Linked DNA regions of Arabidopsis thaliana. The protein of the gene in region 1 interacts with the protein of each later gene in a pairwise test. Each region holds a gene or a part of one and is shown on either strand. Other genes may lie near its edges. The genes, in order: NAP1;1, HON4 and AT5G10400.

Evidence for each region.
Region 2: the proteins of NAP1;1 (region 1) and HON4 interact in a two-hybrid assay, tested with the Arabidopsis thaliana proteins (one study listed by BioGRID).
Region 3: the proteins of NAP1;1 (region 1) and AT5G10400 interact in a protein complementation assay, tested with the Arabidopsis thaliana proteins (one study listed by BioGRID).

Annotation. Positions count from the first base shown.
Region 1 is NC_003075.7:13,227,329-13,238,201, forward strand, and holds NAP1;1 (nucleosome assembly protein1;1), read left to right. Parts: upstream 1-5,239; 5' UTR 5,240-5,383; coding exon 5,384-5,429; intron 5,430-5,551; coding exon 5,552-5,595; intron 5,596-5,790; coding exon 5,791-5,886; intron 5,887-6,046; coding exon 6,047-6,139; intron 6,140-6,291; coding exon 6,292-6,382; intron 6,383-6,475; coding exon 6,476-6,537; intron 6,538-6,626; coding exon 6,627-6,811; intron 6,812-6,949; coding exon 6,950-7,127; intron 7,128-7,205; coding exon 7,206-7,249; intron 7,250-7,386; coding exon 7,387-7,576; intron 7,577-7,681; coding exon 7,682-7,699; coding exon of another isoform or gene 7,700-7,732; exon of another isoform or gene 7,733-8,102; coding exon 8,103-8,174; 3' UTR 8,175-8,580; downstream 8,581-10,873. Other genes in the region: CK1 (casein kinase 1), read right to left, coding at 557-805, 918-1,033, 1,125-1,188, 1,265-1,347, 1,421-1,547, 1,636-1,720, 1,810-1,873, 1,993-2,054 and 6 more; AT4G26120 (Ankyrin repeat family protein / BTB/POZ domain-containing protein), read left to right, coding at 9,117-9,677, 9,748-10,486, 10,572-10,775, 10,858-10,873. UniProt on the Arabidopsis thaliana protein: May modulate chromatin structure by regulation of nucleosome assembly/disassembly. Contributes to the regulation of cell proliferation and cell expansion. May function in nucleotide excision repair (NER). Involved in somatic homologous recombination.
Region 2 is NC_003074.8:6,166,721-6,177,461, reverse strand, and holds HON4 (winged-helix DNA-binding transcription factor family protein), read left to right. Parts: upstream 1-5,456; 5' UTR 5,457-5,903; coding exon 5,904-6,113; intron 6,114-6,199; coding exon 6,200-7,081; coding exon of another isoform or gene 7,082-7,153; exon of another isoform or gene 7,154-7,536; intron 7,537-7,624; coding exon 7,625-7,690; intron 7,691-7,793; coding exon 7,794-8,078; 3' UTR 8,079-8,499; downstream 8,500-10,741. Other genes in the region: MPK9 (MAP kinase 9), read right to left, coding at 1-71, 215-352, 466-621, 934-1,083, 1,188-1,247, 1,339-1,466, 1,559-1,967, 2,645-2,989; HAL3A (HAL3-like protein A), read left to right, coding at 8,833-9,168, 9,286-9,579; AT3G18020 (Pentatricopeptide repeat (PPR) superfamily protein), read right to left, coding at 9,947-10,741.
Region 3 is NC_003076.8:3,266,382-3,274,933, reverse strand, and holds AT5G10400 (Histone superfamily protein), read left to right. Parts: upstream 1-3,976; 5' UTR 3,977-4,045; coding exon 4,046-4,456; 3' UTR 4,457-4,762; downstream 4,763-8,552. Other genes in the region: AT5G10420 (MATE efflux family protein), read left to right, coding at 127-183, 530-768, 837-955, 1,069-1,158, 1,300-1,356; AT5G10410 (ENTH/ANTH/VHS superfamily protein), read right to left, coding at 1,852-2,455, 2,570-2,982; AT5G10390 (Histone superfamily protein), read left to right, coding at 5,459-5,869; RING1 (RING/U-box superfamily protein), read right to left, coding at 6,210-7,115; AT5G10370 (helicase domain-containing protein / IBR domain-containing protein / zinc finger protein-like protein), read right to left, coding at 7,746-8,552. UniProt on the Arabidopsis thaliana protein: Core component of nucleosome. Nucleosomes wrap and compact DNA into chromatin, limiting DNA accessibility to the cellular machineries which require DNA as a template.

The DNA.
Region 1 (10,873 bases):
AAGAGCTAAGAGCACTCTGTACAAATATGTCCATTCATAAGTAGCAGGAAGCCAGGAAGGTTGTTCCAGTGAAGTCATCAACTTTCCACTAGACCACAAAACTAGAGATTATGTAATCATAAAAACCAAACTATCCGCGATCAAATAGATCTCACGACTATGAGGACGAAGACTCACCGAGTATCGTCGATATAGAAACTCCAAGCTCCAGTTCCGATCAGTGAAGACGAACAAGTTTATCAGATCTCTGCAACAATTCTGGGAATCGTCACCTCAGATTAGACCTCCAGTAAGAAGTGAGAAAGCATGGACGACGACTGTGAAGAATTGAGCTAATGAGCTGAACCGGATCCGGTGAAATTGCAGAACCGGATCGGAGAAGAAGAATTTTGCATTTGTGCATCTTTATTTTTAATTGTTACGTTTGAGCCCCAATAATCATAGATATTGTAGTGAAGACCAAATTTCATGGTGGATCAATCAAATTGTATTTTCAAATTTTCGTAGTGTAATAACGGAAAAAGGAATAAAAAGGTCACTGAGTAAAATTAATGTATCAGTGGGGATGGTGTTCGTCCGAGACTTGAAGATTATCGATGCCTTTAACTACTGATTCGTAGTGTCTTCTTGTGGATTTCCCAGCCTCCCCAGGAGAGTTTCTCGGGATCACGCCGCGGCTGACGTCACCTGTACGGCTTCTCTGCAACAACTCCTCGCTGCCTGGAAAATTGTCCCGGCTGCCACTTACTGCAGTTACTCTCCTCGATGATCCTGCTGATTGTGCAAACAACGAGGAGCTCGGGATCTGCATCCAAAAGAAATTGAACAAAGTTTTGATACTTTTAGCCACTAAATCACATATGACCCAAACTCATGTTTGCAGGTGAGAGAGATAGCAAATGCAGAGAGATTCATACCATGGAGTCTCTAGCACTTGAGGATGTCGGTTGGTTCGAAATATTCCCTGAGTTATCAAGAGCCCCTGAAACTCTCCGTCGAGATGATTCCATATGTGGTCGCCCTTCTTCCTCCCCTTGGATTCAACAATGAACAACAAACAATGTGAATAATAACTTCTTTGCAGAGAAATAAGAATTACGTTGTAAGTGATCAGGGAAATTTACCTGTGTATCTATCGATGTTGGAAATGCCCGGAGGCAATGCGGCACTAGTTCCCACAGCAGGATTCTGAAGCAGGAGAGACTCCATCAGAAAATGTCAAACCAAAAAAGATAGTTTAACCAAGAACTCAAGTTTTACTTACGAGGGCACGAGATGGGGGAGCGGTTAGTTGTGATTGTTGATATTTCAAGATTGTCCAGTCAAACACGTAATCAAACTGAAACCCTGCAACAGGGAAATGAAATCTTGTTAGAAAATATATTAGGCTTAAAAATTGAGAGGGAAGGAAATATCAAACCTTCACGGATAAAGAGATCTCGAAATATTCTTTTCAGATAAGCGTAATCTGGTTTATCATCAAACCGAAGCGACCGACAGTAGTGGAAATAGGATGCAAATTCGGATGGGTAACCACGACATAAAGCCTGCAGGTGTAAGGCGATCATATACGAATCAGAATGAGGGAAACAAAAATCTGAGTAAAAATGTAGCATACTTGTGAAATGAACTTACCTCAATGGATGTAGAAACTTTCTTTTCACTAATCCTTTCATACTTTTGCTTTTTGGTTCCAGCTTTCAGTCCTTGCCATGGAAGACTAAAACAGAGATATTCCACACATCAATCAAACTGAAGAAGTTAGGGAAATAAAGTGAAGAGAGTGTGAGGCATGTAGCATAAACTCACCTTCCTTTGAGGAAATACATAAGGATGTAACCAAGAGACTCAAGATCATCCCTTCGACTTTGTTCTTCAGGTTCGCAATGCCAGAAAACAAATAACAGCTGATGAGTATCAAACCTTATAACTCAAACACATAAGGAGAGTGACTGGAACAAATTAACATGAAGCAGGTCTTGTCGAGCTTACCAATTCCCAAGTGAGTGTTCATACTAGCATATCTCGCAGTTCCTGTCAGGTTTTTATTTTCCCTGCAAATGAGAATCATGGGAAAAATTAGCGTTTCCAGTCATCACATAACAACGGAATCATGCTCAAGGGAAGAACATTCAAGAGCTGATACAATGATCGCCTCACCTGTAGGGAATGTGCTGATGTGTTGTACTATCCCTATACTTCTTAGCAAGACCAAAGTCAATGATGTATACCTTAGAGAAGGATTAAACTTGGTCAATACAATGATGTCTCCAAAAGTAAAATAAGACCAAAAGGATATAGTTAAGACAATAAGATGATAAACCTGGTTCGCACGCCTTCCAAGGCCCATGAGGAAGTTGTCTGGCTTAAGATCTCGGTGAAGGAAAGACTTTGAATGAAAAAACTCAACACGGTTGATCTTATCACAAAAACCAAAGGAAGAAAGAAGTCAATATTTCCTGAAACATAGAGGAGCAAATGAAAGAAAGGCGTCACATGAAGAAGTATACCATTTGATCAGCAAGCATGAGGACAGACTTCAATGAAAGTTTCCTGCTACAAAAATTGAAGAGATCTTCAAGACTTGGTCCGAGTAGATCCATCACCAAAACATTATAGTCCCCTTCAACACCAAACCATTTGACATTTGGAACACCAGCTACCAAAGTTAAGGCAAAAGAAAGGTCATAAGTAACACAAACTTTACATTATCAGAAATCAATATCTCATTCAGAAGATAAGAATCATTACTTCCCCCTTGTAGAATCCTGTATAACTTCGATTCATAGAGCAGCTGTGGATGTTTTGTCTTCACATTTTCCTGGGAAAACAAAAACAAAGAGAATCAAAATCTCAGCTTTTCAACATACTGAACTTGATCAAACTAAACATATTGTGATAATGTTACTTATAAATCCATAAACTTTTTGATCATCAAATTATTAAAATGGGATGACTGAAGAACTCACAAGCTTAATAGCCAGTTCTTCATTCGTATGAATATTAGTACCTGGAAAATCACAGGTTAACAACAATGTTAGAGATAATGTGACGAATTCGATAATCCATAAAATTAAAAACTAGAAAGTGAGAGAGAGACGAACCGAGATAGATCTCTCCAAACGAACCACTACCGATCTTTCGGCCGAGACGAAACTTGTTCCCCACACGAGGTTCCATAAATAACCACGAAACCCCTTGTACAATCTTAACAACCCAGACGCAGATTCAAATAGAGCGAAAGGGACCCCAAAAACAATCCTGACTAGAATCAGCCGCACCAGCAATCCAGAAAAACAACCCAGAGATCACGAACAATGAGATTACGGATTTTTCGCCGACTAAATCAAAACCCAGTAATCATCTTCTTCGTGCTCTCGATCTGGTGAAAAAACTCCATATGAACAGAATGTCGTTTTCTGGGATGCTTCTCTCTCTCTCTCTCCTCTCAAGAATTGAATACGAAGATAAAAAAAAAAAAAAAAAAAAAGAGCTTCGATGGACAGAAAACGATGAGGATGTCTTTCTCAAAGTTTGCGTCTTTTTTTTTTTCCTCTTTCCTTGCAGTTGCGGGTAATGTAAAAAAATTATTTACCTCTGAATGATTCCGGTTTTGTTGCTGTGTGCTATGTTCGGTTTGGTTTCTATGCTTCGGTTCAACCAAACAATCTAATGATTATGGCAAGCAGAATAGTAAAATAGAAAAAATGTGTAAAACATCTATAGAACACATATGTATATACATGCTGAGCATCTTTAAATCCACAAAAATACTACTATTTGAGCCGAATCTACCAACTAAACTAAACCTGGTTTTAAAATTATCCGGTTTATTTGAGAGTTTCAACAACAAGCGCGCTTAGACCATCATTATTCATAGTTTATAAGGTTAGTTCTTAGATAAAGTAGGTCTTAAATTTAATGTTATAATTCAATTAATTGTTAAAAATGACTCTTATATAAGAGCCAAATCTAATGTTTCTTAGGTTAATTCTTAGATAAATTAGGTATTAAATATAATGTTTTAATTCAATTAATCTTAATTCTTAGATAAATTAAGTATTAAATCTAATTGTTTGTCATATTTGTTTAAAATTTTATGTTATGTATGTTTCAAATTTTTTGAGTTGTAATAATTATTAAGTTTTTTAAAATTATAATGTTTCTACTTTTTTTCCAATTTTTTTTTTAAGAACTCAAGTTAAGAGTCCACCATTGCATATTGCCAAAATTTCAATCTCTTAACTAAATTCTTAACTTCAAAATTTTCAAAATCAATTATAAAAATATTCATAAGAACTATTAAGATTATGCTAAGAAACTACTATTAATGATACTCTTATGATGGCTATATGATATAAAAAGATTGACCACTTACCAGGTGTGTTTGCTACGCGTGACTTGAAAGCTCTACAAAATGTTTCTCTTAAGTGGGAGTCGTGGAGGTACAAAAAGCTTTTCACCTTTGCTTTTAATAGGATGAATGAAATGATTTACAGTTATCTGATTAGGTTGAATTTGTCTCATGGTTTTCTGGTTAAAAAAAAATGCTACGCGTGAGGCTTCTTTATTGTGTTTCTGGTCAGACGTATAAAAGGTTGAAACTTCAAATTGAAAATGTCGTGATGAGCTAATCTAGATTAGAGTACGTTTAATTCGTTTGAACTCGGGATGAGCTTAAACCAAACTAAAGATCTTTGTGCCTTTTGGGATATGACTTTTTGTTGTGGACTGTTTTTTTGTTTTTGTTGTGGACTGTTTTTTGTTTTTAATTAGTATGTACAGTGTATGTGAACAAAAGAAGTAATCAGTGTATTGGGCTTGGAAGGCTCATTCTTGGGATGGGCCTTAGTACTAACAGATTCAGAAATCTTCTATTTGATCCCATTAAAGTTCACTAACCTGTACTGTATTTGGTGAAGAATCAAATATATATAAGTGTATATATATATATATAAGTATATAGATAATTAATATAATTACATGCAAAATTTTAATTATATAGATAATTAAAGTTTATATATTAGTTATATATATTTATAATTGATTGAATTCATAAATAAACTTTAATTATCTATATATAAGTCAGTTCTCATTATCCATATATATATGTATGTAAAGTTTTGCATGTTATTTAATTCAATAAACTTAATTTTGCTTTTTAAAACATTAAACATCAATTTTTAGAGAAAGAAAAGTATATATAAAAAGAGAAAAAACTAAAATGGCATTTGTTATAATTTTGGTGTGAAAAGGAGGGAGAGAAAAAAACAAAAAAACAAAGAGGATTTAAGGGTTACGAGTCGCCTCCCCAAAACCCTTGTCCCTAGTCTCTTCTGCTTCTTCTTCTTCAAAATCTCTCTCTTCACCAAATCCTCAGAAGATGAGCAACGACAAGGATAGCTTCAACGTCTCCGATCTTACTGCTGGTAAAATACTCCTACTCACGATTACTCTTATCTCTTTCTCCGCCTCTTAAGCCAGAGCTGCTTTAACCCTAATTTCCTCTGTTATCTGACTGGTGTTCCTTTTGTTTACTGTTTTTTTGCAGCTCTTAAGGACGAGGATCGAGCTGGCCTTGTCAATGCTCTAAAGGTGAGTTTTTTTCCCCTTCTGTAAACTGTCCCGTGAGCATTTGCTATTGAAAGATATGGAGGATGTTGAGTTACTTTCCTCTGATTGTTTAGATACTATAAGCCGTGTCTTGGTGTTTAGTGTTTTGGTTTCAATGTCATTCTTCTAGTACAATGATAGTTTATGAGTTGTTAATACATTGTTATTAATTCACAGAACAAGCTGCAGAATCTGGCTGGTCAGCGTTCTGATGTGCTCGAGAATCTGACTCCCAATGTGAGAAAGCGCGTTGATGCCTTGAGGGATATACAGGTTAGCGAAATTTCTTTCACATTTTACCAAACTATGTGTGCTATATATCGTTTAATGGGGTTTGTTTTGTTTTGTGTGAGTTTTCTCCCTGCTTATCTGAATTTAAAGTTTCAAAAGTAAGGTGTTGCGTTTTGATTACTGATGACTTCTTTCCACGCAGAGCCAACATGATGAACTAGAGGCAAAATTCCGTGAGGAGAGAGCTATTCTTGAAGCCAAGTATCAAACGCTGTATCAGCCTTTGTATGTCAAGGTAATTGTTAATGAGAAAGTTTTACAAACCATTTTACTAAACTCAATGTAGATCTGTGTATACTCTTTTTGCTTATGTTTACTTATCTGCAGCAGTGTTAGTTTTCTATGTGCATCTTAATGAATTCTACTTGGTATCTTGTAATGGCACAGCGTTATGAGATTGTGAATGGCACTACTGAAGTTGAACTGGCTCCAGAGGATGATACCAAGGTGGACCAAGGAGAGGAGAAAACTGCAGAAGGTAACTTCATGAGCACTATGTCTTCTTTGTTTGTTGTTAATCTTTTTGGAAAGACAAAAACAATTTAACATTTTTCTCTGTTTTTCATTGCAGAGAAAGGAGTTCCAAGTTTCTGGCTGACAGCTCTGAAAAATAACGATGTTATTTCCGAGGAGGTAGCCTATATGCAGTTTTGGTGTTCGTTTTATAAACACTCCAATCATAACCATGGAATATGAGCATAACTTATTGTCATTTATGTCAGGTCACAGAGCGTGATGAAGGGGCTCTCAAATATCTTAAAGATATTAAGTGGTGCAAGATTGAAGAGCCTAAAGGATTCAAACTTGAGTTTTTCTTTGACACGAATCCGTATTTTAAGAACACTGTCTTGACAAAGTCTTATCATATGATTGATGAAGATGAGCCACTGCTTGAGAAGGCTATGGGGTAACTACTTATACTCTCTTGCAATTGTTGTATACTTTTAAGTATATTCTGCTTATTAGCTGATTGCATTGAGCTGCTTATTTTTTTTCTTCGCTTATATTGCAAATGGATTCTTATTCTTTCACCATTCATTTTCAGGACAGAAATTGATTGGTATCCTGGAAAGTGTCTAACTCAGAAGATTCTCAAGAAGAAGCCTAAGAAAGGTTCAAAGAATACTAAACCAATCACCAAACTCGAAGATTGTGAAAGCTTCTTCAACTTCTTTAGTCCTCCAGAAGTTCCGGATGAAGATGAAGATATCGACGAGGAAAGAGTAAGATAACGATTGTTAGAAAAACCTGTCATCATTTAGTTAATGTATTTAGTAACTCTTTCTCGTTCTTTGATGCAGGCTGAGGATCTTCAAAACCTGATGGAACAAGATTATGACATCGGGTTCGTCTTTTTCTAAACACACTTTCTCTGTTGATTTTATGGGTTTGCTTTTGAGTCATGGGACTACTTTATCACTGCAATCAAGGTGGTTACCCTTTCATTATTATCTGATCACAAGTACTTTTTACTTTCTGCAGATCTACTATTCGGGAAAAGATTATTCCTCGTGCTGTCTCATGGTTTACTGGTGAGGCTATGGAAGCAGAGGATTTTGAAATAGATGACGATGAGGAAGATGACATTGATGAGGATGAAGATGAGGAAGACGAAGAGGATGAGGAGGACGATGATGATGAGGATGAAGAAGAAAGCAAGACCAAAAAGAAGGTATAAAGTGCCCCAAGTATAGTTGTTTCTTTTTTTTTTTTTTTTCTTCATGCCACGTTAGTTTTTTACTAATCCTTTGAAATCGCTTAATATTTTTTTTTGCAGCCATCAATCGGCAACAAGGTATGTAACCTTTCAGAACTAAAGTTTATTTGATTTTGGAACTCCAACATTCAAATAACCAAACACAAGAAGTTTCAGGCTGAGCATTGTGATGAAAATAGAAATTAATATCGGAAATGTAGGCTCTAGAGGCCCATGAATCATACAGATTGCTGAAAGTAACTGAGCAATCCTAAAAAGTATGAATCAGTAAATAGGTAGTTACGTAGAAGACTCTGAGAAGGATACATGAATGACACAGCAGAGACTAAACAAGCTCTTTAATCATGGCATGGGCAGTACGAGATAGAACCATTCTCATGAATTCATTTTATTACTATAGTAGCAAACTAGCAATCAGTGTCTATGTTTGTGATAAATGTGAGAATCATCTGCTTAATTTTTTTTTCCTCTTGGACTGCAGAAGGGAGGGAGATCTCAGATAGTTGGTGAAGGTAAACAAGATGAGAGGCCACCCGAATGCAAGCAACAGTAATCTTTTACTACGCTCTACCAGACATAAAAGGATTGCGTGAAAATATAATTCAGGTCATTCTCTGTTCATCAAGAATGAGGATTGAGAAAAGGTTTTGGGATTTTTAAAAGTGAAATTCATCTTGTAGGAGTTTCGTTCGTTTTTCTATTGGTGTGTTTATTTTCTCTAAAGCACTTTAATAATATACCTTGGTATTTAATTTATGAATCAAGCATCATCATCCCTAGTCTCTGCATTCACTACTTCATCCCCTACCTAAACTTTGTCGACGAAAGAGATTTTAATAACCATTTAGATAGTAATGGGTAGTGGGAATGATCATTATTCTTTTGTTCACCGTCCTTTGATTTTCAATGGTAACCATTTTGTTGTGTAAGACTACAAAAGATGAATAATTGGACTATGACCATATTATATTAGTCAAGTCTAAATCGGTCGAAATCAGTTCACCTTTAAGATGAGTAATTTGACTAAATGCCTCCGCTTGTTCAACACTAATTATAATTTAAATTATTGTAGAAGGAAAACACAAAGAAAGTGAGGTTCCGAACATCCACAATTTGGACTAATCACATACTACTTAAGAAGTTTAATGCATCATTAGAGCTAAATGAGGGGAAAAAAAAGCTAGCTAAATAAACTTGAGACACTTGTTTGTGTTTGGTGTTATGAAAAACAAACTCAAAAGTCGCAACACTGTTTGGTAAATTGGAGACATGCGAAGAGGGGACCGCTTCGTTACCATTCAGAGTATTTGACGTAATATATTCCGTTTTAAGAAACCTATCTAGTTTCCAAGAAATTTACTAATAAAGGTGCTTGAGAAAGACCGTTGTTGATGATACGTTTTTTTATTTGCTAATGAAACGATTCGGTCGTTGTTTCTTGAAATTCCACTGTTATTAGACTCTTGACTCTGTTTTGTTTCCCGCCGATCTCGTGATGATGGCCACCACCACCACCACCACCACCGCTAGATTCTCTGATTCATACGAGTTCAGCAACACAAGCGGCAATAGCTTCTTCGCCGCCGAGTCATCTCTTGATTATCCGACGGAATTTCTCACGCCACCGGAGGTATCAGCTCTTAAACTTCTGTCTAACTGCCTCGAGTCTGTTTTCGACTCGCCGGAGACGTTCTACAGCGATGCTAAGCTAGTTCTCGCCGGCGGCCGGGAAGTTTCTTTTCACCGTTGTATTCTTTCCGCGAGAATTCCTGTCTTCAAAAGCGCTTTAGCCACCGTGAAGGAACAAAAATCCTCCACCACCGTGAAGCTCCAGCTGAAAGAGATCGCCAGAGATTACGAAGTCGGCTTTGACTCGGTTGTGGCGGTTTTGGCGTATGTTTACAGCGGCAGAGTGAGGTCCCCGCCGAAGGGAGCTTCTGCTTGCGTAGACGACGATTGTTGCCACGTGGCTTGCCGGTCAAAGGTGGATTTCATGGTGGAGGTTCTTTATCTGTCTTTCGTTTTCCAGATTCAAGAATTAGTTACTCTGTATGAGGTAAAACACAATCCACTAAATTCTCATTGACTCATAACATCATCTTAAGTCTCCTCTGTTTTCATTTCAGAGGCAGTTCTTGGAAATTGTAGACAAAGTTGTAGTCGAAGACATCTTGGTTATATTCAAGCTTGATACTCTATGTGGTACAACATACAAGAAGCTTTTGGATAGATGCATAGAAATTATCGTGAAGTCTGATATAGAACTAGTTAGTCTTGAGAAGTCTTTACCTCAACACATTTTCAAGCAAATCATAGACATCCGCGAAGCGCTCTGTCTAGAGCCACCTAAACTAGAAAGGCATGTCAAGAACATATACAAGGCGCTAGACTCAGATGATGTTGAGCTTGTCAAGATGCTTTTGCTAGAAGGACACACCAATCTCGATGAGGCGTATGCTCTTCATTTTGCTATCGCTCACTGCGCTGTGAAGACCGCGTATGATCTCCTCGAGCTTGAGCTTGCGGATGTTAACCTTAGAAATCCGAGGGGATACACTGTGCTTCATGTTGCTGCGATGCGGAAGGAGCCGAAGTTGATAATATCTTTGTTAATGAAAGGGGCAAATATTTTAGACACAACATTGGATGGTAGAACCGCTTTAGTGATTGTAAAACGACTCACTAAAGCGGATGACTACAAAACTAGTACGGAGGACGGTACGCCTTCTCTGAAAGGCGGATTATGCATAGAGGTACTTGAGCATGAACAAAAACTAGAATATTTGTCGCCTATAGAGGCTTCACTTTCTCTTCCAGTAACTCCAGAGGAGTTGAGGATGAGGTTGCTCTATTATGAAAACCGAGGTATGCTTTCTTCCTTCACTTGAATATCGAATTTCGGGTAGGAAAATGAGTGGAACTAATGATAACGATGGTCTATACTTTTCAGTTGCACTTGCTCGACTTCTCTTTCCAGTGGAAACTGAAACTGTACAGGGTATTGCCAAATTGGAGGAAACATGCGAGTTTACAGCTTCTAGTCTCGAGCCTGATCATCACATTGGTGAAAAGCGGACATCACTAGACCTAAATATGGCGCCGTTCCAAATCCATGAGAAGCATTTGAGTAGACTAAGAGCACTTTGTAAAACCGGTATGGATTGATTCTTATATGTCATCTCTTTTCTAGCCAACAAAGAAATGATGTTTAGAACTTTATTTTGTTGTATCTTCAGTGGAACTGGGGAAACG
Region 2 (10,741 bases), on another chromosome or scaffold:
GGGTACATGAAGCTAGTCTGTTCTCCACCTCGAAGATATTCTTGCAGCATCTGAGGATGATACTCTAATATCTGCATCACATTCAACTTTTGTAAGGATTACGATTACCCGATGGATACGTGCGAAAAAGGAAGAAGATACATTTTGCCATTGTTCAGAGCTTAATCAATCCAAACAAGTTTAGTGAAGCAAAAACAGTAAGAGATTAGTGTACCTCTCTGTAGATCAATTCTCTCACATCTTCTTTTGTTATCTTCCTTCTTTCAAACTCAAACTCGAGTTTCGGAATCGGTTGAGTAGATGGTTCCCGATCAACGTTTGCCAGACCATAGAAGTAAGGATCTGCCAGTGCCTGTATATACACACACACATGTATATATAATGTTTCCTTTTCTGAGAGCGATTGAAACTGCTCTGAAATTTTGAAGTGGAAACGCTAGAAAAAACAAGTATAGAGGAGCTAACCTCTTCAGCTGAGGGACGGTCTTTGGGATCAAATGCAAGAAGACGGTGCAGTAAGCGAAGGGCCAATGGGTCTACATGAGGAAATTTGTGAGTGAATGGAACTGGCGGTTTTCTCCTCATATTGCCGAGATATCTCCTCGCCTTTTCATTACGAATCTGCAACAACACAAAACACTGATCATCATTACAGGAAATAGAAATCTGATACAATCAATCCTGGTCTAGTAATGATATAACAGTAGTATTCCCATACCTCTGTGGGACACATACCTAAGTGAGTTTTCCTACCAATTAATATGAATCCAACCAAAGCTAGCATAAACTACTTGCCACATAACTGTGGCCGGAAAGTACTAGTAAGCAAATAGTCATGGTTTATAAAACTTTTAATTCATAAGTCATAAGACATCACAGAAATTCTAGCATGCAAGTTTTAGCAAACAGAAATAGATAACTCTACCAACTAACCCTTGCAATAGCTTCGGGAGGAGGAGTACCAAGCAAATCAGTCATAATATCCAATTGGTGCACCACATTCTTCCCAGGAAACAATGGCTTCCCAGTGAGCATTTCTGCAAATATGCATCCTATGCTCCATATATCAATGGCAGGAGTATACTGCAGCAAAGAAAGCAATAATCCGTTTTAACCTCAGGTTGTGGTGTCATAATATGTGAATCAGACAACTTTTGCAAAAAAGAAAATAGAGAATTGCATTTTACTTTGGAGAAGAAAGAGCCACAAAGTTCTGGCGCACGGTACCATCTTGTAGCAACATAGTCCTGCAAAGAAGCGAAAACCATTTGATCACAACACTTAATGCATCAGAGAATATAGAAAAAAAGAAACTTATGATTTCATTGAGTAGCATACAGTCCAGAATATAGCCGAAGGTGCATCATTAAAGGACACTCGAGCAAGCCCAAAGTCGCAAATCTTCAACTTGCAATCAGAGTTGGCTAGAATATTTTTAGGCTTCAAATCACGATGAAACACATTAGCTGTATCGAATAAAAAAGTTTTCCATCAGATTGAGTTTGAAAAGCAGTAATGGACAAAAGGAAACACGAATTTCTCAAGCCAAGGCACTCGCCTGTGTGTATGAACTTCAGACCACGAAGAAGCTGGTAGAGGAAAAACTGGTAGTGCTCAGGTGTAAGATCATCGTTCGCCTTGATAACTTGGTGAAGATCTGATTCCATCAACTCGAAAACAACATAAATGTCTCTGAACTCACGGCGTGAAGGAGGAAGCATTACATGCTTTATCTCCACTATATCAGGATGGCGGAGCAACCTGAGAAGCTTGATCTCTCTTAGAATCCGCGTTGCATCAGAGACGTGCTCAAACACATCATTGATTTTCTTAATGGCAACCTTTTCGCCTGAATGTGTGTCGATTGCAGATGCCACAACACCGTAACTTCCTTTCCCTATAACTTCTTGGATTTGGTATCGGCTAGCTTCACCGTATTCTGTAAAGAACTCAGTCTCCAGTGCAACCTAAAATAGTAGCATTATATACCAAAACAGATTTTAGATAGAAAGATATGAAAACTGAGAAGAATTTTGCCTAGTTCTCCAAACTCTACAGATCATATGTATCTTCTAGACTTTATAAGGTACCATAGATTCAGGGTGAGACTATACGGAATCATAAACCAGTTAAGAGCCGATGCAAAGGAAACATAATCAAGAAGAAACCAAATGAACAATGTAGCATTTCTACTACTTCTAAAAAAAAATTCAGATCACGTATATAAGGTAAGTTGCCACAGAGTAAGATAATTCCAGAGGGCATAAAGCCGAGGCGAAAAATGCAAAATCATGAACATGAAGCAACCAAATCCACATAAAAGATCCAAATGATCAGAGATGGCTTTGCATTTTCCACCATTTCCCAAGCAAATAAACACCAGAAATTTTGGATAAGAATCACAAAAAGTGTTGACCTTTTCAATCTAATAACTAAAACCCAGTAATTAAACAATGATTTGCTACAGTTCCCCGTCCAATGTAGTTGGAGAAATTAAACAGAAACTCATAATCACAAAAGGCAACAAAACCTACGAGGTCCAAAAATCAATTCTAAATCTGGAGAAATCAAACAGATAAATGAAACGACAGATCCATATGAGCAAGCAATACCCAAAACGTTTACATAGAGAACAAAAACGAACCTTTTTATGAGGATCCATGAGAATATAATTCCTTCTAGAAACCCTAATGCAGTTCAAACCAGACAAATCAAAATCTCTAACAAGGGAGAAACTTTTCGCTTCTTCTTCTGCTCTTTTCTCTTTTCCTCCTTCTTCTTCCTCTTCTTCTTCTTCTTCTTCTTCTTCCTCTTCTTCCTGATTTCTGTAAATAGTTGTGAGCTGAGACCGTAAATTACTAACAGATAAGCGATCACTTGATGAAGCAGAGTGACGAGAGCTGGTGCTGTTACTGTTGGTCAGAGGATGATTAGAAGCATTCCGAGAATGAGGATGATTATTAACGTTGGTGCTGTGACTAGCACCCATCAAACACCTCCACCACCACTTTTAAACTAATTTTAATTTAATTATCATCGATTGACAATAACAATTATTATTAGTAAATAATAATGATTTTCACGTCGTCGACGCACGAATCTCTCAGGTATGGCGTGCTTCTCTCTTTCTAATTCGACTCTCCATTACTATTATTTTTTGTTGGCTGGTTTGGTTCTCTTGTCCGAAGGATGCGGAAGATAGAAGAAGAAGAAGAAGAAGAAGATGAAAGGTGGGTTTGGCACGTGCGACTCACGTGAAGCGTGTGTTTCTCTTTTTCTTAAAGGGCATGTTTGACTATTTACATTGCTTTTTTTTTAATTAACTTCATTCACATGGCTTTATAACACCTAAAAACACCGCAGATGAATTTAACTTGCGTCCGTGACATAACCAGATTAGGAAAAATTAGGCTAACAAAATTAACAAATCGTATAACTATTTTTTGATAAGGACAGTATATAATATTGAAATTCAAAAAGCGTGTTTGAGAAAAAGAAAATAAAAATGGTGGTGGTGGGTAGGGCCAATAGCCTAATAATAAAAGAAGGTTATGTTTGAGATAATTGTAAGATGCCAGCAAATGTCTGCTCTGTAACTCTTCTAATGCACGTCTCCGGTCGTGTGTGACTCGAGAGGACCCAACCAAATATGCAAAAACATTTAAATAAAAAACATAAACAAATCATTTCAAATTCGAGAGAAAAATAAAAGGGTCTTAAAACTGTTAATTATGCAACAGATAGGCCCATGTAATGTTGAGGTCCATCACATAAGTAAACATTATATTGAAGGCTGATAATTCGGCCCGTTAAAAGTGTTGTTTATAAGAGGTTGTGTGTACTGTGTAGTGTGACATATCAGAGGCGACAAAACATATCATAATCTTTTGTTTTGTTGGAATTCTGGTGTGGTGATCGTCTTTTGTCATCTGCTTACTTGGTGTCTGGTGATTGTGTCTTCTGATCGTCTATTACCAGCCGCACTTTGTTTGACCCTTGCTTGAAAGTATTCGAGCACACGCATGCACACATCACAACACAGATATATTAGTATTAAAAGAATGAGCATACATAAATTGTTGTATGAAAACGACACGACTCAGGTGATACTTGGAGTTTGAATGATGAGCATATATCGGGTTTTACTTGCGCTTAATGCATAAGCATAAACGTACTGTACTCTTTATAATATCGTATTGTAATGTCAGTAATATGTACCAACAATTCTCTTGTTGGATGATTCTTTTTGGGTACCGTGATGTATGGGCTGGCTTTACCAAGGAGATAGGTGTGACACTTGTTCCCCCATAGATTTATCAATTGTTCTTAGTCCCATTGATTTTATTTGAGATTTGCTACTTCAAAATTCAAATGGTGAAATCTATCCAACTACCCTTTTGAATCCACACATATAATACACAAAAGTTCATTAAACAATATTAAAATGTCAAATGAAAAAAAAAGTTCTTCTAAAAAAAAAAAAAAAACATTAACTATATGTAAAACCACTAAATATCTTTAAAATTATCGCTCACTTTGTATCCTTTACATTACCCGTTAAAAATGCTTGTTTGTTATAAATTTTGCATTAAACAATTATAAATTCTAGTTTTTCATATTTTAAATTTTCTTAAATTCATCGTTCACTATTTATCATTTTTATTATAATGTTTAAATAAATAACGCTTCTTTGTACAAAACAAATTAAAATTTGCAATCAATACTTACTAATTGCATGTTTTTCCATATTTTGAAAATTTTAAAACTTATCTTTCATCATTTAATATTTCAATTATTCTTTTAAATATATCACGCTTATTTGTGATACAAGACAAAAGAAAAATGTATTTAGCACTTGGTAAATATATTTTTCCATATTTTATTTTTTTCATAAAGTTATCTTTCATCATCTATAATAAGAGGTTTACATTTATTTGTTATTTTTGTTTTACGTCGTACATTTATATATATATATATAGATATATATATATATATATATCAAATATTTTGTTAAAATGCAACTAAAGTTAAAATTTAATTCAAATGTAAATATCATACATTACTGTTTAAAAATATTTTAATGTCTTGTAATTTTTCCTTAATGAAAAACATATTTGATGTATCATTTTGTGATTAAGTTAAAGGGTCGCAAATAGATATATACTCTAACAAAATTCACAGAAAATATAAATTTGAAACTAAATTTTATGTAAATGTATCGATTTCAAATCCTAAACAGAGGACATAGAAGTTAGTAATTGCATTTGTTTTGCCATACTCATCTCAATACATCTCTTACTTATCATACACTCTTTAATGGAGTTTGTTACATGGGTTACTTAATGTAACAGTGTTTGCTATATACTTCATTCGATGTTATTCTAAAATCAACAAAATTGTTTTACACTGAAAGCGAGGAGTTCTTTTCAGAAAAATAATTTAAAATTTTGGCGGTCCATTTTTAAAATTTTGGTGATTTTTTATTACATTGGAGCGAAAATGTAGCAAAATTCTAAGAGGCAAAAATGAAAAAAATCAAAGTAAAGAAACACAAAATCCTTAAAATAAAAGACAAAATGATATGACACGTCATCGATCCTCGTCAAAACCGTCGATAGAAAACAAATCAACGGTTAGATTTAATAGTAATCTTTCTTCTCATCCTTTCGTCTCTACTCCTCCGCCTCTCTCTCCCCAACCTAACTTTATTTATTTCTCTCACAAAAATTTTATTTTCACAAAAACAAAAAAATCAAAAGAGCTCTCAGAGCAAAAAACAAAAAAAAAGAAAAAAAAACCCTAAATCTAAATCTCACCTTCCACCTCTGTCTTTTTTTTTTTTGTTCTTTTTTTTTTTTTTACTGTATCTTCTCTTCTCTTTGCTCTGCAAAAATCTCACATCCATGGATCCATCTCTTGGTGATCCTCATCATCCTCCTCAGTTCACCCCTTTTCCTCATTTTCCCACCTCCAATCATCATCCTTTAGGACCAAATCCGTACAATAACCATGTCGTCTTCCAACCGCAGCCGCAAACGCAAACGCAAATCCCGCAACCGCAGATGTTTCAGTTATCTCCACATGTTTCAATGCCCCACCCTCCTTACTCCGAAGTAAGTTCAATCTTAAAAGCCTCTTCCTTTATAACTAAATTCAGTTACTTTTTTTTTTGTTACTAATTTTTTTTTTCTGTGTGTAGATGATTTGCGCTGCGATTGCGGCGTTAAACGAACCGGATGGTTCGAGCAAGATGGCAATTTCGAGATACATCGAGAGATGTTACACCGGTTTAACTTCTGCTCATGCTGCTTTGTTGACTCACCATCTCAAGACTTTGAAGACCAGTGGTGTTCTTTCTATGGTTAAGAAATCTTACAAAATTGCTGGTTCTTCTACTCCTCCTGCTAGTGTAGCTGTTGCTGCTGCTGCCGCCGCTCAAGGTCTCGATGTTCCCAGATCTGAGATTCTCCATTCAAGTAACAACGATCCCATGGCTTCTGGCTCTGCTTCTCAGCCTCTGAAACGAGGTCGTGGTCGTCCTCCTAAGCCTAAACCTGAATCTCAACCACAACCACTACAGCAACTTCCACCGACCAATCAAGTCCAGGCTAACGGACAGCCAATCTGGGAACAGCAGCAAGTTCAATCACCTGTTCCGGTTCCGACTCCGGTTACAGAGTCGGCGAAGAGAGGACCTGGTCGTCCAAGGAAGAACGGTTCTGCTGCTCCTGCTACTGCACCAATCGTTCAAGCTTCGGTTATGGCTGGAATTATGAAACGTAGAGGTAGACCACCGGGTCGTCGAGCTGCTGGGAGACAGAGGAAGCCCAAATCCGTTTCTTCTACTGCCTCTGTGTATCCTTATGTTGCTAATGGTGCTAGACGCAGAGGAAGGCCTAGGAGAGTTGTTGACCCTAGCAGTATTGTTAGTGTTGCTCCAGTAGGTGGTGAAAATGTGGCAGCGGTTGCGCCAGGGATGAAGCGTGGACGTGGACGACCACCTAAGATTGGTGGTGTTATCAGTAGGCTTATTATGAAGCCTAAGAGAGGACGAGGACGTCCTGTAGGTAGACCCAGAAAGGTAAATTTTCACATCCCCCAATTCTGTATTCGTGATCTCGATTTTGCAATATCTGACGTTTACTGTGCATGATTGTTCACTGCTCCGCCGTCAATTTAGATTGATAAAGTTTGATACTTGTGTTGCAATCATTGTGGAATTCAAACTCAATGTCACTTTCCGCTTTTGAGCATTGTTGTCTGTTTTCGCGTATCCAAAATCTGACTAGTATCTAGTGTTTTTATTATATTTTCGTGTCCCTTACTTTTGGCTTATCCTTATCTGGTTTCTCTGTTTTATTTTAATTTTCGTTTGGATAATTAAGACCAAAATAGTCGGTAATGTATCGCTATAGCTAGGAATAATTTTATCATCAATTAGTGTGTTAATCCGGCTTAATGGTTTCTAAGTCATCACATAGTGTCTTCTTCTCTGTATCTTCTATTTTACTAGTAACGTGTTCAATTGGATCTAAAGTAAGACTTCTTAATTTAACCATTAATGTCTTTCTTGAATATGTTATACTTTTATCCAACAATTTTATTTTTTGGTTCATGAACCTAGATTGGAACATCAGTCACGACTGGGACACAAGATTCTGGAGAACTCAAGAAGAAGTTTGATATTTTTGTAAGTCTACTTGTTGACAATAAACAGTTTGGCTGTCCTTTATTTGATTAAAGTATTCGATTCTACTTGCTTATGTTTGGTTTTTGTATGTAAATGATTTCAGCAAGAGAAAGTGAAAGAAATTGTGAAGGTGTTGAAGGATGGAGTTACAAGTGAGAATCAAGCAGTGGTGCAAGCCATAAAAGATCTGGAAGCACTAACAGTGACGGAGACCGTTGAGCCACAAGTTATGGAAGAAGTGCAGCCAGAGGAGACTGCAGCACCACAGACTGAAGCTCAACAAACTGAAGCTGCTGAGACACAAGGAGGACAAGAAGAAGGACAAGAAAGAGAAGGAGAAACACAGACCCAGACAGAAGCAGAGGCAATGCAAGAAGCTCTGTTCTGAAGAATAATAATGATCTAGAAAACAACCTAGACATAATAGCCTTGGTGTTTGGCGTTAGGAGTGTTTTTTTTTAGTTGTTTTAGGTGTTGGAATCGCATCTTAAATTATATAAAAATCTATAAGGAATTTTAATTTTTCTAGGTTTTGTTGTCTGCAGAAGAAGAAATAGTAGACTCGTTAATGGTGTTGTTGTCGGTGTGTCTTTAACCAAACCATAAGACGTGGCTGTAAATTAGCGATGTTTCTAGTCTTCCATCTTTAATAATCTCTTATTGCGTCTGTGCCTTTGTTTTTTTCAATCTGTCTTCTGCTCTCTGCTTCCGCTTTGCACATTGTGGAGATGTTTTCGTGTCTATTTTCCACCCAACGGTTTTAGCAGGTCGACTCTTACTTAATTTCTTACTAATAATATCTTCATTTCCATCTCACGTTGGCTCAAAAAGCTATATAACTTTGACTCGAAAACATGTTAGAGTTAACACAACAGTCGAACTCAGAATCGAAATTGCAGTCCAAACGAAGTAAATATAAAATGAAATATATCGATATTCACAGCCCATACGACCGAGGCCTAAAAAAGAGTGAGTCAATGGCCCATTTGACCAGCAACTAAAATGATTGTCCTCTCGGGCCTCTCTCTTTCTCTTCCCTCTAAAACATTTTGATATTCTCTTCGACCAGATCAATTTTTCGGTTAGGGTTCTTCGCCGAACCATTGGCTACTTTGCTAGATCTCTGAAGGTGTAAAAGAGCTATGGAGAATGGGAAAAGAGACAGACAAGACATGGAAGTGAATACCACACCGAGGAAGCCTCGTGTACTACTCGCTGCAAGTGGAAGCGTCGCTGCTATCAAATTCGGCAATCTCTGCCATTGCTTCACCGAATGGGCAGAAGTCAGAGCCGTCGTTACGAAATCATCTCTACATTTCCTCGATAAACTCTCTCTCCCACAAGAAGTGACTCTGTATACTGATGAAGATGAATGGTCTAGCTGGAACAAGATCGGTGATCCTGTCCTTCACATCGAGCTTAGACGTTGGGCTGATGTTTTAGTCATTGCTCCTTTGTCTGCTAACACCTTAGGCAAGGTAATTTAACAAATCGACGAAAACCCTAAACCAACTACTTAGATTCAATTGTGTGACTTGTGAAAACATTCATGGAGGATTCAATTCATACAATATATTTTTGTTGTACCTTTGTAGATTGCTGGTGGGCTTTGTGATAATCTTCTGACTTGCATTATACGAGCTTGGGACTATACCAAACCACTGTTTGTTGCTCCAGCTATGAATACTTTGATGTGGAACAATCCTTTCACTGAAAGGCATCTTTTGTCTCTTGATGAACTGGGAATCACACTTATTCCTCCTATCAAGAAGAGACTTGCCTGTGGAGACTACGGTAATGGAGCTATGGCTGAGCCCTCTCTTATCTATTCCACTGTCAGACTCTTCTGGGAGTCTCAGGCTCATCAGCAAACCGGTGGAACTAGTTAAAACCATGATTTCCACAACATGCATTTTGTGGAAAATCATCTGTTTTCACTATCTTAGATAATAGTAGATTTTATCAGTCTGTTTGCTTTTCTTGTACATCTCAAAATAGCTGTCTGGATTGATGTATCTGGAGGACCATTTGCACTACTAGCTCCACTCTGTTTCTGTAGAAATGTCTATGTTTCTTTTCCTCGCTCTTAAATGTTGTCTTCAATTCTGCTAATAGCTCACTGAACTTTTGAATTTGCCAGCAAAAATTTCACAGAGAAACAAACAAGCCCACTTTTTTACGTTTACCAGTGATCGTGATATCAAAATGCAAGATCCTTGAGCCCCAAAACATGAATTTTATTGCTTTTGAAACAGTCTATCCTGAGGTTGCAGGGTTTGAAATTAACTCTCTTTCCACAGTTAGATCCATAGAATCATGTAGTTTATCGAGTATCCGCCATGTAACAGCATCAGGAGCCTGACCGTTCTTCCTCATCTCCTCCAAAATCTGGTACGCTTCTCTCTTTAACCCACTTCTGCTACACTCAGCAATCACAGTATTATAGCACACAACATTAGGGATTGCTCCAGAATCTGCCAGGTCATATAGGAAATGGCAAGCATCACTTAGATAACCAGACTGACAAAGCCCTTTCAGAAATGCTGCATACACAAACGCATCATGTCTGCCTGATGGCCATATCACATCATCCCAGAACTTCTTCGCCATATCCACCTTATTAGTCACACACAACCCGTCAATGATTATTGCATATGTAGTGCTATCCGCAGTCACACTCGCCTTTTCCAGCTGACCAAACACAGACATAGCTTCATCTCCCTTGTGGAGCTTGAACAACCCACGTATAACAGCATTGTATGCAACAACACCTGGCTTAATCTTGTTCTCCGGCATAACGCGATTCAACACATCCAGAGCTTCTTCTGCTCTTCCTTGAGCGAGCAAGCCACACATAACAGTATTTAAAGTCACAGCATCTGGTGCACAGAACTTCCCTGTCATCATATCATCAAGAACTTTCATGGCATCGTCCACCCTGCCCATCTTGCATAATCCATTAATAACTGTGTTAAGTGTATACTCATCAGGCCTGCAGTCTCCCTGAAGCATACTGACCAGTACGTTCAGGATCTCAGTCGGGTTATCCAT
Region 3 (8,552 bases), on another chromosome or scaffold:
TAATCGTTATGCCATATTTTTCTTGTTGTTGTTTGTGTTTTTTGTTGGAAAACTCTTATATTTTTTTTACAAAGAAATAGACGTCGTTTTTTACTGTTAACGTACTGAACTTAATTCTCTGTGCAGCATGTCGGTAAATGGTTGGGAGATGATGATTCCACTTGCCTTCTTCGCGGGAACCGGGTAAAAAAATCCTATTCGGTTGCTAAGTTTAGAGTTTTTTTTTGTTGGTATGGATGTTAAGTTTAGAGTTACGTACGTAGGGATTGGATTGATGATAGTTATCTAATATCTATCTACTCCATCAAGGACAATAACATGGCCTAATGCTACAAACTTTTTCGCACAACAATTTGCAACAATCTTGTTATCATCACAATTTCACACACTCACAGTTTTCCTTTTTCTTTAATGTATTCGTTTTAGCAAATATTAAAGTCTACATGTAATCTAAGTTCATAAACCGGGATTATATGCACACATAAACGTCTCCAACGTAGTTATTAAACAAATAATACCTATTTTGTAGAGTTCGAGTGGCAAACGAACTAGGAGCTGGTAATGGCAAAGGGGCAAGATTTGCAACGATTGTTTCAATCACACTATCGTTAATGATTGGATTATTCTTCACAGTCATCATTGTAATTTTTCACGACCAAATCGGCTCGATCTTTTCGTCAAGTGAAGCTGTCCTAAACGCAGTCGATAATCTTTCTGTTCTCTTAGCCTTCACGGTTCTTCTCAATAGTGTGCAACCAGTTCTTTCCGGTACGCCTTGAAACTGATTTCATAAACCAGGTCAACGAAAGTGCGTTGACTTTTGACATTTGATTAAGGTGTTGCTGTTGGTTCGGGTTGGCAATCGTACGTGGCATATATTAATTTGGGATGTTACTACCTTATCGGGCTTCCGTTTGGGCTTACTATGGGCTGGATTTTCAAATTTGGAGTCAAGGTTTGCCCAATTTTCCTCTCAACAAATGTCGGCATATTATTATGTCGGCAAATTATGTTTCTTTTGATGTTCATATTTGTGGAGATGAACTAACATATGTGTATGGATGATAGGGAATATGGGCCGGTATGATATTTGGAGGAACCGCAATTCAAACGTTGATATTGATTATCATCACTACAAGATGTGACTGGGACAATGAGGTAACCATTTGGAGTATATTACAAAATATCACTTTCATCTAAAATTTTAGTAAATTTTGTCATAGTTAGTACATTACTTTTTAACTTGATATAAGAATTTTTGAGTGACTGTTTACAGTGTACAATCTTAAAACATTGCAGGCACATAAATCAAGTGTGCGCATTAAAAAATGGTTGGTCTCGGACGCAGGAAACTGAAGATGCTATTTTAGTTGTCAAATAAAATTATTTTGGAGCATCCGTTTCGTAAATCTAAATCCTATTTATTGCATAAAACACATAGCTTATGGTTTCAATATCACATGATTAGTTGATTGAAATGGGCTAAACCGGAGGAGGGATTGATTTGCTTTCTTTATAAATAACAGAAAAAATAATTATGCACACTTTCACTTCATATAATTCATAAAAGGTTTATTTACATACGGAATCACTTCTTCTTTGTCTTTATGAAATAAGGATTCAAACATAATTAGAAGAAAAAAAACGAGATAACCCATTCTCAAGAGTCAAGACAAAAACCAAATTAAATCGTAAAGCTGGTATTTATGTACGTATAGTGAGAAGTCTACCATGTGTAAACCGGATCTTGCTTCACCTAACTGAACCAACCAGACCGAATTATTCGTCAATCCGTTGGAGTCGTCAAATGTTACCCATCCGGAATCCAATGTAACTTCATGTGTTAATGTCTCAGAAATCAGAATCGTCGAATGTTACCCATTCGGGTTGAACCGAACCAACCAATTCAATCATCTCCTCATCGTCCTTAACCGTAGTCTGAACCAAACCGGCCAATTCAATCATCTGCTTATTGTTTTTCTTTTCTGTTTCAGCCTTCAACATCTCAACCAAACACCAAAAATCATCCGCTAGACGTCTGCAACGCCAAAATAATCCACTCAAGCTCTCCTTGCATTCTACAAGTCTCACCAAAAGCAGACTAAAATCGTTCAGACCGAGATCACCAATAGGTTTAACACCCGGTTTAATCAATCGTTCAAACAACACCTGAAGCCGTACCATAACCAATCTCACAATCTTGAAATAGTCTTCAATCACTAGCTCTCTAATCTCGTCCACGATCTTGTTTTGGAACATAGGCGGAATCTCAGGTCTGGTACATATATGCTCAAAAAAACTCACAAGAGAATCCGTTTGTCTTATAATATACCCGGTTTGGTAAGACGAAACACGATCTTTCTCTTCAACTTTATCTTTTGGATTCACCAACAAATTTGGAAAAGATCCTAATACCTTCGGAACCCACGAGAGACGATCCAAGTATTGTCCATACCTAAGTTACATTTTTTTTTTAAAAATGTCGGTATGAACATGTCCAAATTATTAGATAAATATCACAATCAAAAAAGAGAACTAAAAAATCTTTTTAAAAGAAGAAGTAAATTACCATCTAATCCACTGAGACAATTCTAGCGTGAGATTAGAAGATTTGTCTGAAAACTCGTTCAACTTTAGATTGTTTCGACCATGACCTAGTCCTTCAAACTTGTCTCTTGATGATTTGATAAGCTTGTGGATGACGATGAGAGACTTGGTGGCCACAATAGCGTTCTTCGTGACACGTAACCTCCACAGAGCCGCTGAGAAAGCCGCCGGAGCGTAACGGCTGTTGGAGTAAGAGATAACAGCGGAGACATAGTCACTGTTTGGTGGTTTGTTAGGAGTACGAGTTGTTGACTTCAAGAGGGCTAAGTGAATGTATTTGACGGCGGTGGACCCGAAACTATGAACCAATCTTGCTTTGCCTATCGAAGCTTTGTCTTTGAATTTTCCGATTATGTGAGTTTTGAGTCCTGGCATTATCTCGATGGAACTAGATGAAAAAAAAATTGAAGCTGTTTTGCTTTGTGAGGTTGGAATTTGATTTTTATAAGCGTCCAATGTTTGATTCGCTTTCCATTTTCTTATAGTTTCCTTTTAAATCTTTTTTATATACGTGAGTTTCCTTTTGCAATCATTCAAAATTAACATTATTTTTTTGGTCGACATCCAAATTTGATTAATTTTACTTTTCTCAACTATTAATTTGGTAATATATCTTTTCATTCTAAAGTCGTCGTTCATTCATTTTATAAAACTTATATTAAACATGACGAGTTCATATTCAACCTCATAAGACCAATAAAATGTTGTTATTTGTTAAATAAAATGTTGATAGGAATGTTATAGAATAAGTCTGGCAACTACTTTGTTATTTCTATTACATATATAGTTTATTTGTATTGACTATTGACTTTACACCAATGTTTTTTTTATTTGTATTGTAAATGAATAAGTTTACCAATGTTATATTTAACGAATAGGTTTACCAGTATTGTCATTTATCTAGTATCTAATTAAAGATTAGAAAAGTCAATACAAATTAACTATATAAGTAATAGTAATAACAACCACACTGCAGCCACCAGCAAATTCCATTAACAAAATAAAGATCTCGAAAATTTGAACACCAATTTACGATTTTTTAACGTCAACATGAATGATATATTCATAAAAATGTGTTGAGAACAAATTTGGTCAAGTCAAGCTTTAGATCCGTAAGAATAATTGATTCATGGCTTCTTCCGCATAAACACATAAATCAAATTGTATATGTGAATTTCGGCATTGACAATTTTGGTAACATATGACGTGGATGCTGAGAAAGTAATTCTTATTGGTTATTAACACAGGACGCGGATCGTAAAGATACAAACATTTCTAACCGTTGATAAGCCAAACAGATCTAACGGACAAAACACAATCACTTCCTCTCTACCTTTGAGTATAAAAAAGCCTCACAACATCACTCACTTTCCCATCGATCGCATTCTCACCGAATCAAATCCAAAAGAGCAAATTTACAATCTTGCGAACTCCTAAAATGGCTCGTACCAAGCAAACAGCTCGTAAATCCACCGGAGGAAAGGCACCAAGGAAGCAACTCGCGACCAAAGCTGCGAGGAAATCAGCTCCAGCCACCGGAGGAGTGAAGAAGCCACACAGATTCCGTCCAGGAACGGTGGCGTTGAGAGAAATCAGGAAGTATCAGAAGAGTACTGAGCTTTTGATCCGTAAGCTTCCGTTCCAGAGATTGGTTCGTGAGATTGCTCAAGATTTCAAGACGGATCTGAGGTTCCAGAGCAGTGCCGTCGCAGCTCTTCAGGAAGCAGCTGAGGCTTATCTTGTTGGGCTCTTTGAAGATACTAATCTCTGTGCGATTCATGCTAAGAGGGTTACGATTATGCCTAAGGATATCCAGCTTGCGAGGAGAATCAGAGGAGAGAGGGCTTAAGTGAACGAAGATGATGAAGATTAAGAAGACTAGTCGTTTAGTTATGGATTAGCTTGTTTGGTTTCAATGGATATGTAAAGCTGTCTCTTTTCGTTTTCGAGTGTTATTAGTTTTTTACTTAGATGTGTCTTCCAGATGTTCGATGAAATGCCTAAAGGAAATTTTAATCTACTGTTGTCTAATCTTTTGATTCGTTCTGTCGATCTCCATATTTCTGCCACGCTTAAGAATCGTTTATCAACGGAAGAGTTAATTTTTTGCTCGATGAAATTGTCCAAATTGATTTGCAATAGTAGCTGCTTAGGGATTCTCAGTCTTCTTCTCCATGAACAAAACATTCTACAAATTCTTATTTAGAACTAAATCATTCACTAAACGTAAGAAAAGTATCGGTTCTTTACAAAATCAAAGTGAGAATTCGCAGATTGTTCTATTCCTGGTTATACCATCACAGTAAGAAATCCTCCAAATTATTTTACTTAATGCGTAGATTTGCTGAATAAGAGTAATGTAATTTCTCGAAATTTGTAACTTCAGGCTAAATTTGTTATGTAAATTTTGAAATAATTTCATCCTTATTTTCTACGATTGAATTTTTTTGAGACCCTTCATAGCCAAAATTTTCGATTTGGCGCCTAAAATTAAAAGATTTGGAAGTAGCGCAAAAGCCTACGTGGACTGAAAAGGATGATTTAAATTGGTTGATAGTAAATGACACGGATGGCCGGAATTTTAGTCTATTTTAATTCGTTGATAAGGTCTCACACGGATTTATACCTGATGATCTCAGCCGTTGATTGAAATATTTAATCCAACGGACAAGAATACAACTTTCCCTCCAAAAACAAAACTCCCTCCCATGTTTTTTTCACCTCACCGCCAAATTTCTCTCCCCATAAAAGCAGTCCCTCTTCTGCGTTGATCTTCACTACAAAATTTCTCATTCGCATCCTCCACAAGAAGAAAATTCGATCGGTCGATTAGTCTTTGTTTGATTTCGAAATGGCTCGTACTAAGCAAACCGCGAGGAAATCCACAGGAGGCAAAGCACCAAGAAAGCAACTCGCAACCAAGGCGGCAAGGAAATCTGCTCCGGCCACCGGAGGAGTGAAGAAGCCGCATAGATTCCGTCCAGGAACTGTTGCCTTGAGAGAGATCAGGAAGTATCAGAAGAGCACTGAGCTTCTGATCCGTAAGCTTCCTTTCCAGCGTCTGGTTCGTGAGATAGCTCAGGATTTCAAGACGGATCTGAGGTTTCAGAGCAGTGCTGTTGCTGCTTTACAAGAGGCTGCTGAGGCTTACCTTGTTGGTTTGTTTGAAGACACTAATCTTTGCGCCATTCACGCTAAGAGGGTCACCATCATGCCTAAGGATATCCAGCTCGCGAGGAGAATCAGAGGAGAAAGAGCTTGAAGACTGTTGTTATGGTTTATATCTTTTGATTTAGTTCGTCAATGGAACTCTATTTCTGGATTTTGATTTGCGTTTTAGTAGTAATGGGTTCTTGTAAGTGTTGAGCTTTGGCTCGTTTTAATTTTCAGTTGTTAGGTACTTTGGTTTAGTTAGCCTTGAAGTGTTCGATGAAATACCCCAACGAAACTCTCTCCTGTTTAATAGAACTTATTTTCCTTAATTTCTTTGGTTTTGCTGCTCGTTGATCATATAATATTGAAACATTGAAAGTTTCGATTTATTTCAGATACTGTATATAACACACTAGATATTACATTAAGCTTCAATGTAGTTACACCAATTAACTGGTGTTACCAGTTACGGATGGCATTTGGTTTTGTGGAATCGGTTGTTCGTTCCTTACTCTTCTTGATGATGAGAACAAGTTAGCACTGAAGCTGGTATAGAACTGTCTTCCACTTCTAGTAGCATTGTTAATACCATCGCAAAGTGATAAGCTTCCTCCAATTGAAAACGATCTTCTCACGTTTTCTACTCTTCCTGAGCCACAGTAGTTTGCCAAATCACTTTGTGCCCTTGGAAGAAAAATGTTATGGTTTCTTCTAGATCTGGAACTGTCTTGTCTTCCACGGAGGTCATTGCTCGATTCAGAATCTGGTTGATGATTCGTCTCTGTTTCTTGATGAGGTGGTTCAGTGATAAGAAGTACAGGGGCACGACATAAAGGACAGTTCTTGTGAGAGAGCAACCAAGTGTCGATGCAATTTAGATGAAAGGCATGGCTACACTTTGGTAACAGTCTCAGCGACTCGTCTTCTTCAAACTCGTTTAAGCAGACAGAGCATTCTGTGCCGTCGATTATCCCTTCTCCCTTTTTGAATCCAACGACTGTGATCGAGTTGATCGCGGAACGGTGGAGACCGACGGTTGGGATTTGCCAAACGTGATGAAAGTCGGAGAAATCTCTCTCCTCTGTTTCGTCCTCATCTTCCTGTTGGTTTGTGTCACCGGGAGTTACGCTGGCGGCTGAAATCCGCCGTTGTTGCGTGATGTGGAGGTAGAGGAAGAAGACTAGAAATAGAAAGAGTATGATTGAGCCGACGACGCAGATCGAGGTGGGGAGTAGGAGAGAGAGCTCCCTCGGTGGCGGTGGTGGTGGTGGCGGGGGAGGGTATTGCCGGAAACAAAAGCGTAAATCTTTAAACTGTAGACATGAAAGAAGCATTTTTCTGTGATTAAACGCCATTGTAGGAGTTCAGAGACGACATAAACAGAGCAAAAACAGAGGACTTTACTTTCAGACACAACTAGTAGAAAACAGAACAAGAACAGGGGAAAATGGGTATGACACACAATTCCAAGTTTTTGCTTCTGATGAAAGCAAAAAGAAATAGGACACTAAAACCCACAAAATGGGTTAGAATCTAGACAAGAGTCATGACCCAAAAAATCTTCGTGAGGAAATAAGTGGGTACACAGCCACACACATCACAATCTACAAGACTAGGAATTAGAGAGGATTTGTCCTTTTTAAGGGTTGGAAAGTGGGTGGAAATTTCCTGAAAGTGATAACGCCATTAAAGGCGATGTCTCTGTATGTTAGGAAGTAGTTTCCTTTCAACTTAGTAAACTCTCTGTAGACATTTACGCGTAATCAGTCATGTAGCGAGTCAAGTAAGTCTTTCATTTACAACAATCTTAATTTATTTGGCATCCGGTTTAGATTATGATCGGTTTTTTCAGTTGGTTAAAGAAGGTATAACTACCGAACTACACTATCTTCACATATGTACACATTAAGCATACCAGATGTTACAGAATATAGATACATAGGTCCGGTCTAGTCGGGCTGGGCAACGGGGTCCTCTGGGACACCTTACTCGACTAATCCGATTCCACCATGAATTGTCCTTAAATGGGCATAACAAGGTTCTTCTTGAGTGAAGACGTCTAAGCAGGTCCAACAAATGTGCTTTCCACACCGGCACTTCATATGGTTACACCCATCAGTCTTCTCTATCGTCGACTTGCAAATCGGACACTCCTTTACGTTCTTCCCTTTTGCCCAGTCCTTTAGCGACAAGTCCGGATTTTCCTTGAACTTTTTGTACCTTTCACAAGTGATTAACGGGTGATACTCGAGGTGACACCTTGTGCATATTTCTGAGTGACATGCTCCACAGATGAATGGCTCACCAGATTCTTGAGGTCCAGCTACACGGTAGACGGAAGGGCAATCAGGTGTGGAGCAAAACCTGAACTTTCCATCACTGGATGTTACAAAAGAGGACAAGGATGCGCTGAAGAGTTCATCGAGCTTCTCTTGTGATAAGAGGGCTCTCATATCAGCGAGTACTATTGGAGCTCCACAGTCTATGTGAGAACAAAGTATTGGGAATGCGTCAAAGTTTCTCATCGATGCCTCAAATTGCTCCAACAAACAAGCTTTGCAGAAGAGGTGTGAACATCCTTCAAGAGAGTAGCCATCATCAACTTCAGACAAGCAAATGGGGCATTCAACTTCAATCTCATCTGGTTTTTCACCCAGTGCACTCTTTTCTCGTGCAAGTTCATTGACCATCTTTTGTACTTCCTGCCTCATTTCTTTGCTCCCATGAACCTGAATAACATGGTACCGGGTGTTGAGCTTGAGATCCACACCATGCACCTTTTCTTTGATACC